2 linked regions of the Drosophila melanogaster genome follow. The protein of the gene in region 1 interacts with the protein of each later gene in a pairwise test. Each region holds a gene or a part of one and is shown on either strand. Other genes may lie near its edges. The genes, in order: comr and CG16863.

Region 1 (4,639 bases):
TCAAAATCCCATATTCCAAGAAATCCCTTGCTTAATGAACTAAATTGTAAACTCTTTCAATATGTTTAATTGTGGCATTTCTCAAGAAAACGATACGATCATTAATATGCATTGTGTTTTGAAAAATGATTTTTCTGCATGCTATATGGCAAAGTGATATTTTAGCCGCTAATTGTCAAAGTCCACCAAACTTTGGCCCTTAATATGCAGTTCGTAAAATTATGAAATATATTCATTTATTTTAATTAGCTTAACCTCAAGGCGAAGAAAGCGAAGAGCAGAGAGAAATAAGTTCAATGAGACCCCAAGGTTTGCCTTCTGGCAAGTGAAATGATTGATGGATTGGAGCTCCATTGTCTTCACATGAGTCACTAAACCACGAGAATCTTATAGAGCGTATCACTTGCTGCAGTGACTCACTCTAGAATAAGGAAATATAATCGAAACTGGAATCGGGATCGTAAAAATGCAATTCAGATAGCGAAAGGGCGGAAAACAGCTGGAAAAATTCGGGGCTAGAAGGTCGTGCTCAGTCGTCTTCATCTTTAATTGCTTGGAAAACAATAGTCTAAAAGGAAAACCGATGGAGTAGCGCCCCATAAACCATAAAAATGCATAATCTACGACCACTTGACACGCATTAAACAAAAACAAAACAACACTACGGCGGCGGCATTCCTACTTTTATGTTTTATAACGTTTTCAACATTTTATAAAATATTTTTTAGACGAACGAGATGGGAGATCTCCATATATAGTTGAACAATAGTTGTCCCCAGATAAGGAGTAAATAAAGACCTCTAGCTCTCTACCCGTAAAATTAAACTGAAACCGAAACTTATGTAGTGCTTTTTATGAATTCATATAGGGCTTCCGTCACACGACTAAATCAGATCGTAAAAAATGTACAACAAAAGAAACTTTTTCGTTCCGCCAAAAGAAAGAGCAACAAAAAATAGGAAGCAATGAAAAAATTGAAAGGGGTTTCATTGTCAAAATCACGTGCGTGCTGGTATACTATTTTTTTCCAACTGGACTTGTAAATTTATTCGTCATATACAGCCGTTGTTCTTGTTATGCAGCTTTTCATGGGCTGCCCTATGATTTTCGCTCGGAAATTACAACTTTGTCATCAAATTCGGACTGTAAACATTACAACTAGTGTAATAAAAGAACAATAAAATTGGCGGAAATATTCGCCAAAGAAATTGAGCAATGAAATGCATAATTATATTCACTAGACGAACTATTCACATCAGTAATTTACCAATAACTAAAGAAGCTATAAAGAGCAGGGTATTATAATATTCAATAGATTCAAGCAGCTGACGACATTTTTTTAATTTACTCCTGGTGACACGTGAGATTATTGCATAAAATTCTTGTCAGTCCGATTTTTTTCGCCTGTGCCAAAAACTCAGCAGTTTGTTCATCCAAATATCGTGCATCAGTCAGAATAATTGGGGGGGTGTTCGCCATGGATGATTCGTGATTAAAGGATGTGTATTAAATATTCATATGAATGTCAATTTAAAGCTATCTCTTTCGGCACAGTGTCACCCTCTCTTTCTCATTGACTGGTTATAGACCAGTTGAGTGCCAGTGTTGGCGGCTTTTTGTTGTCTCGGCTTTGGTCTGCATTATTGTTGATATAGCCCATGAATCCCCAATTGAAAGGCTTCCCTTACTTTCCTTTTTGAACTTTGCCGCCCTTGGAAACAAATGGGAGGGTTAAAACTGGGGGTTTTGGGGTTATAAATAACAATAGATTTATTGCAAACAAAACATGAAGTGCATTCAAATAAAATGAAAGGAGCTTTGTTTGGTTTTCGCCTGTCTACTCTTTCACTAAAGCTAAATTGTGTAACTTTAATTTATCAATAAGAATTTTTGGCAGCAGAATAATAATAGTGGAATGCAAGGCTTATTTAACATGTAAAAAAAAGAAGTTTTGAACATTAAGTGTGACTGCTTAAAGTACACCGATGAGAGTGTGTTTTCTTAAAAATCATCGATAGAAACTGTAAAGGATAACAGAAAAACTTAGCAACACTTTTTCCGAATGGAAAACAACAGCAGGGCAACCCTTAAAGTGGGCCAACATTTCGTTTGTCAGTCCTCATATTTTTCCGGCTTGCTCGTTTGCCCGAATATTTGTTTGAGAACTAAAAAGTCATCGAAGTTTGTAAATACAAAAGGATAATGTCGGGGAACCAAGACACTTTGGGCCAGTCACAGCAGGTCAATGAAAGTGGTGATGAATATGAAGAAGACGCAGCAACAAGTTGGACAAATGAGTTGGAACAGCAGGAGTCCAGGACGCCAGCGGATAGCCCCGAGTTTCTGGATTTTGTGGACTCCGAGGATCCGCTGGAAGATTTCGAAAGAAATCCTTTGCAGAAGGAGCCCCTCGATCTGGCAGTTAAACCTGTTTCCGACATCAATAAGAAGGCAGCGGAGAATCACAGGCGGATTTACCGACAATTGGGTATCCATATCCCGGAAACGCCAAAAAGCCATCCTCTACTCCATTATGCATTCGTCGTGAAACTGTTCCTGGCCACCGATAATAGCTCCATTCACTACCTCAAGTGGTCGGCAAATGGCCGCGAACTGGAGGTCGATTACCAGGGTATGCAGGAGCATTTGTCCAGCGGGTGTTCCATGTTTCATTGTCGAAATACATTGCAATTTACGGGCACTCTATTGGCCCACGGATTCGAACGCGTTTCATTGAAGGATGTGCGTAAATCCTCAGCCACCAACATCACGCTGATCTATCGGAATCCAAATTTCGTTAAGGGTCAGTTACTCAAATTGCATAAACTGGCTCAGGAATGTGAGAAAATACCTGAAATTTCAAGCCCGGGAACGGCGGAGCCGCGACGACCACCTCTGCACCTCCCGAACTATGCCCATATTTCCAGGATGGTACGGCGAGGAGATCTCTGCTCCACTCCCTACACATCCCGTTCTGCTCTGCAAGTGGCTCGATGTCATTTCCAAACTCTGCTAGGATATCAAGCCGATCTGGGTGTCCTTAAGGATCGCAACAATCACGATATGTTCAACAAGAACATTATGACGCAACTGAATGTGAAGAGGGGGCGTTCGTCTATCAATAACGCCCCCGTAGACTTAGCGCCCAGTAAAGTTTCCTTTGAGAAATTCGTAAAGCCGCACGAATCTGTGATTAATATCGGAATTGGCCAAGCTCCCGATTATGCCGGTTATTATGGCCAGGTCGAGCTATTCAAAGTCAACGAGTTCTTCTCCGAATATCTGCCGCGCTATGGTAGCAAAATCACCGGCTACAAGGAAATAGTTATGGATGCCACCAATAAGTCCATTGGTTTCCAGCAGAATCTGCCAATCGGCATGAATTACTCGGATGATGAAGACGATGCCCTGCCACCGATTTCATCGGACCTCGACTTGGACTTCATGCCATCCACCTCAGCGGCGGCGAAGATGAAATCTACAGGTCGCAAGGTAGTGGAGGACTCGGACTTGGAGCAGGCTATGCAGGAATTGTGCGGCGGTTCTAATCTTAACGAAGAGGAGGAACTTCCACAGACCAGCACCAGGTTTAAAGCAAAGCCCAAACCAAGAGCCAAAACCAAAGCCAAACCCACGAAACGCCAAGCTAAACCCGTACATTCCAGTTCCAGCGAATGCGAAGATTTCAAGCCAGACGAAGTGTATGAAGGTTTTAAGTCTAGAAACCCAAAGAACGTTAAGTTAAAGCCTAGTGACGAAAATATCTCCTATACTCTTGAAGAAGGAACTGATTTCGAGGAGCAAGTCATAGAAGAAACGACCGAAACCAAGGTGCAGGATTCGCAATACGATGACCTGGATGATGACGACGACGACGAGGAAGAGGATTACTTCGACGAGGATGACGAGGATTATGTTTACAAAAATTTGCAGTACAGGAACCCTCCTGAACCGCCAAAAAGCCGACGCTATGATCTACGCAACTCCAAGCGAAATCCTCGTTGAGTCTGCCACTCATTGGAATTGTATGGTATATCTAAGGCAACTAGGAGTTATTATTTGTTAAATCAAATACTTGACTGTGTGGATTTGTGCACCAAACAATTAAACGTTATTTAGTAACTTTAAAGAGGATTTTATTTAAAACTTACGGTACGCATCTTCGGACCATTCACCTCTGCCATATCTTTTGTTTATTCAACTTTAGGCCCATTCCTTTAACCATCTTCCATTGGGCATATCTAAACCTTTCATTATAGCTTTTGTTGGTCTTCTTCGAAGGCAATAAGTTTGGACATATGGGCAATTAAATCGCTTATCGCTCTTTGATCTCTCACGCCCTCAGTGCCCCATTACCGAGGCCAATCAAAAGTGTAATATCATCTGGAAATATCTTACCAATTCGAACCGAGGGCCAGCACCCACACGAACTCACAAAAACCGAAAACGTATAACCAGAAAATAAAGGAAAAAACCAGACAGGGGCACAATCAGTCGGATGTTTACAAGTTTTATGAGCCACCAAATAACAAGATGAACAACAGGCAACCGAAAACGAAACCAAAACCAAAACCAGAACCAAAGCGAAACTTAAACGATACTTGATTTCGAAGGGATTTCGGATTTGTGGTGTACCTCG
Region 2 (5,063 bases), on another chromosome or scaffold:
TAAAGGGTCTTATCAGCCAGGACACCTTCTTTGCCTATGCCACCGCCGTGGGTGTTATGGTCATGGCATTCTTTACCATAGTCCTGGAACACAAGTATCTGCGCAGACGAATTCATGATGGCATCTGGGAATGGGCATTCCAAAGAAAGAAATACAATTCGACAGGCACCCTTCCCAGTACTCCGATCTCAGAAATTGATGATTGTGCAAGGGAGGAAAAACGGGTTACCGATCTGATAAAAGACCCATTGAACGACCATTCACTGATTGTGCACAATCTTCGCAAGCGATACGGCGATAAGCTGGCTGTGGACGGAGTCAGCTTTGCGGCTGCCCAGGGTGAATGCTTTGGTCTGTTGGGTGTTAACGGAGCGGGTAAGACAAGTACCTTTCAGATGATAGCGGCCAATTTGCCTCTAGATGGTGGCACTATCCGCATCAAAGGCGCAGACATTCGCGAGCATGAGTTGAAATACCGGGAATACTTTGGCTACTGCCCTCAGTACGATGCACTAAATAAATTCATGACCGCCGAGCAGTGCCTATACTACATGGCATTGCTGCGCGGCCTGAGCCGCCGAAGGACCGATGGACCAGCCAGCTGCAAGGAGCACGTGAAGTACTGGCTAGAGAAGATGCATTTGACCAAATATCAAAAGGTGCAAGTGCGCCACTATTCGGGCGGCACGAAACGCAAGCTTCTGGCGGCAATGGCCATGATTGGTGCACCCGCACTGGTGCTCCTGGACGAACCTACCACCGGTGTGGATCCCATCTCGAGACGATTTCTTTGGCAATGCATCAAGGATTTCCAGGGAAAGGATCGAACAGTGGTGCTCACATCACATAGGTAAGCCCAAAAAAGTATATTTCCTTTTCAAACAGATTCAAAAGTGTACACATTCTCTACAAACAGCATGGACGAGTGCGAAGAGCTGTGCAATCGCTTGGCCATCATGGCGCACGGAAAGTTCAAGTGTCTGAACAATATTTGCGCCCTTAAGCGATTAAGCGGCTTCACGATAAAACTGAAAATGAAGGCGGACACCGAAACGGAGATGAATGTGTCCACGATCACTGGCACGTTGAAGTCAGAGTTTCCTGGTCTGGAACTGCGCGAGAGCCATGCCGGCACACTCACCTACTTTGTTAGCACGCAGGAGAGTGTGGTCCTTTGGTCAAGTGTTTTCAAGATAGCTGAGGAATATCTGGGCGATCGCTTAAGCGCTCTCGTGGCCGACTATTCGGTGAACGAGTGCACACTCGAGGATATTTTCCTCAAGTTCGAGAGAGAGGCGAAATCACAATCGACGTCACGTCAAACCTCCGTGCAACGCAGGCCGGAATGCAGCTACGTTTAGGCCAGATAGTCGGAGTGTCGGAGTATCAAGTAAGATAAGCAGAAGACGGGCGTCGTACATTTCATTATTTCCCTCAAATATGGAACTTTTATGAATCTCTATCCGGTGGGAATAATCTACTTAATGTATTTAGGGACTAATAAAACCAAACAAACACCTTCGACATGGGTATATAAAACTAAAATATAAAAGTAAGATATAACTAGTACGACAAATAAATAATATTTTTTATTTATATTATAATAAATATTTCTACATAATATTTGATGTGCATTGATTATGGGATTAAGGTAAATTATCATAATTCAAAAGAAGTTAAAAACAGTTTTATACCCTTCTATTGGTAGAGGAACAGGTATCTGATTGACGGGGAACTCGACTATAGCATTCTCCCGTTTTTTTTTTTTTTTAATTTAAAATCTCCCGCCTTAGTATTTTTAAAATACCACTCATAATAATACCAAAAGGAACTTTAAACGATCTATATTTGGAATTTAACGATTCATTCAAGAATTAAAAGTAATACATAATGTAATTTTTTTATCCAGCTTGACTATTGAATATTTAATTATGAGAAAAATAAATATAAAACTATTATTACTTGGACGACTTAGGCGCTAATGGAAATGTCAAATTCTCAAAAAATCTCCCACTTGGCCACACTAATGTAGCGTTATTTACAAAATATTCATTTTTTTCGTCGTTAATTTATCGTTTATGCCGAATATGTCGCGTAGCAGAATATGGAAGTTCTACGACAAGTTGGATCGGAATTCCGCGCAGTGCCAGCTCTGCGAGAAAGTAATCAAGACAAGCGGCAACACGTCCAATCTGATGAAGCACATGAAGACCCATCCGCAGATGTAGGAAAGGCTCCTGAGTTCAAAAACCTTTCACAATGAAAATTTTCTTGAAGAAACCTCTTCGACGACGATGTGGTGGTGGAGCGGGGCATATACAAGCGGCGGGAGCAGGATGACAAGCTGCGATTCCGGAAGGTTGTTCCCTTCAAGGAAGAGAGCTCTGATTTCCACAGCGAGCTGTTGTTCAAGGCTGCCAAGGATGCGAGCGGCATTATCGAGCTGGATGATCAAGGAATGATCAAGGCGGCTGCTGAGGATCGCATCTCAACAAAGAGCGTCGGGTATGCGTGGGTCTCTCCGGAGGCCACAGTGTCCCGAACGGAGACGGTTGGCGGCGACGATATCATCGAATTCGAACCCAAGGAGGAGCTCGATGAGTCGGAGAAAAGCCCACTTCCCCAAATTCATGCTGTACCATTTGCCGGCCATGAGTAAGTTTTAATCAAAAGATAGAAGGTAGAAGATAGATACAATTGTAGTAAACTTCATTTATTACCCAGCAACTTAAAAATGGAAGAACCTCTGCCGAGCGAGAGTCCGTTTCACAAGGACATTGCCTTCTTTGTCTGCCGTGACCGCCAGTCATTGCAGATTGTGCAGGGCGAGGGATTCCAGCACCTAGTGAAAGTACTGTGCCCCACCTACAGACCACCGAGTGCGGCGAAACTGGAGGCCATTATCTGCAGGGAGTCGGAAGCGCAGAGGTCCAAGCTCTGCCAGCAGTTGGCCGACATCTCGACACTCAGCCTAAGTTGCTCGGTGCACACGAATGCGGAGAGTCGAAGCTGGATGGAGCTGGTGGCCCACTTTCACGAGGGGCGGCAACGAATCTCCCGAACTCTTTCTGTGCTGCGCCTTCCCGATCTTTTCACCTCCAACGATCTGGTGGATCGCATGGACCAAGTGTGTCAGCGCTTCGACATTCCAAAGTCAAGGATCTGCTGCGTGTCGACAAGGAGCAGTCAACTACTGGAGGATGCGGTGACATCGTTCATGGGCGCTCATCATCATGTTCCCTGCTTCGCAGACCAATTGAATTCTATTTTAGAGGAGGTGGTGCAGCGCCCAGAAATACGTCATTTGCGCGACAAGGTGCGTTCCCATGTGCAGTCCACATTGCAGCTGAATCCCCAACTGGATTCCATACACCGACCGATTAGTGTGTACAATATGCTAGACTTATACCTGAAACAGACTCTCGTTCAAGAGCCGCTGCCGCTTTCGACATCGGAGGTGGATTTGTGTCAGCAATTGCTGGACGTGCTGAGGCCGTTGACCAGCTCCATGCGTGAGCTAAGTCGAACACCATATCCGGCGGCCAGCACAGCCCTGCCCATTGCCCAAACTCTGATCAACGAACTGAAGCAGGAGAAGAGTGCGGAACACATGGTTGCCAGGGAAATACGCTTGTTCCTGGTTCAGCAGCTGGAGGAGATCTTCGAACGAATGGAGCGCAACTTGCACCTGGCATTGGCAAGTCTGCTGGACCCACGCTTTCGAAATATTCCCTTCCGGAGTGGGGCCCTGGTGGCCCAGTACATGACTCAACTCTATGACATGATGCAGGCGCATGTGGACAGCGGGGAGCAAGCTGTTGCAAAGCATCCGGAGAACCGTGATCACTACGATATCTGGGCGGCATTCAAATCCTTTTCGCATGGGAAGCAAAGGATTGTAAACGGCAGCAACGGTCCCGAGGCGGACGATGAGATAGCCAGATACTTTTGCGCCGGCATGAGTACCCTGCGAGCCGATCCCTTTCAGCTCTGGGAGGAACTGGCCGAAGCTCACCCCTTCCTGCACAACGTAGCACAGAGGTACCTGCACGTTCCGGCCACCGCAGAGCCGGCGGATCGGCTATTTACGGCCGAAGGAGCGGCGGTTGCGGCGCAGTACGCCAGACTAATCGAAAACAACATGGAAAACATACTCTTCATGGCGGAAATTCCAACGAAGGAGTGGCAGTTATAGCGTAGTCCATAATCAATCCAAACCTAAGTTGAGCACTGTGTTTTTGTACCCCTTTTATTAACTAATTTATTAATTTACATTTACAATAATGCGAACTATAAAATACATTTTTTAACTTTTTAGCTTCTCAAGCGTTAAGGAACTATTTTTGTATTAGAAAATTAGAGGTAGGGAACGAATAACGAACACATATTCATTAAAGATTTGTAAGTACTATTTACTACACATATTTACACAAATAATTTATTTTAAATATAACTTTATTGTTTACTTTTTTCTTTTGTTATCACAAATCGCCGTTACAAATTCAAATAACAATAACACCAGCAAATTAGCAAAAATACCAAAACCGAGAGAATACCAAAAACTTCCCAACACTGCCGACAGCTCAGTAATTTTCGCTTACACGGTCACACTTCTGATGACGTTTTTTCGTATTTTGAAGGGAATGTAAATGTGGAAAAACTGAGAGATTTGCAACATGCAAACATCCACGACACGCTAAAAACTCACCGAGTGCCGCCACACGACAATCCAACCGAGAGGAGCACTCCGCACAGCTGGCGGAGCACCCAGAAGGCAGCAGGCGAAAGTTGCGTGGCTGTTGTTTCCGGAAGCGGTGGGCAGAGGGAAATCCGAAGCAGTGGTAGTAGGGAAAGAGGCATCGAAACCCACCCAGCGAAGGCGACCTTGGGAGTGGCAGCGGCCCAATATGCACAACAACTCCACAAAAACCAAGGAAATGTTCATCGTGCGTGCTCTAGAAAAGATCCTTGCCGATAAGGACATACGGCGCTCCCATCACTCGCAGCTGAAGAAGTCCTGCGATTCGGCGCTGGAGCAGATTAAGGCGGAGCTAATCAGTGCC

What was found.
Region 2: the proteins of comr (region 1) and CG16863 interact in a two-hybrid assay, tested with the Drosophila melanogaster proteins (one large-scale study listed by BioGRID).

The regions. Positions count from the first base shown.
Region 1 is NT_033778.4:21,864,357-21,868,995, reverse strand, and holds comr (cookie monster), read left to right. Parts: upstream 1-2,136; 5' UTR 2,137-2,202; coding exon 2,203-4,005; 3' UTR 4,006-4,126; downstream 4,127-4,639.
Region 2 is NT_033779.5:13,788,941-13,794,003, forward strand, and holds CG16863 (uncharacterized protein), read left to right. Parts: upstream 1-2,018; 5' UTR 2,019-2,087; coding exon 2,088-2,224; exon of another isoform or gene 2,225-2,277; coding exon 2,278-2,655; intron 2,656-2,724; coding exon 2,725-4,195; 3' UTR 4,196-4,324; downstream 4,325-5,063. Other genes in the region: Eato (engulfment ABC transporter in the ovary), read left to right, coding at 1-850, 917-1,361; Sec71 (secretory 71), read left to right, coding at 4,908-5,063.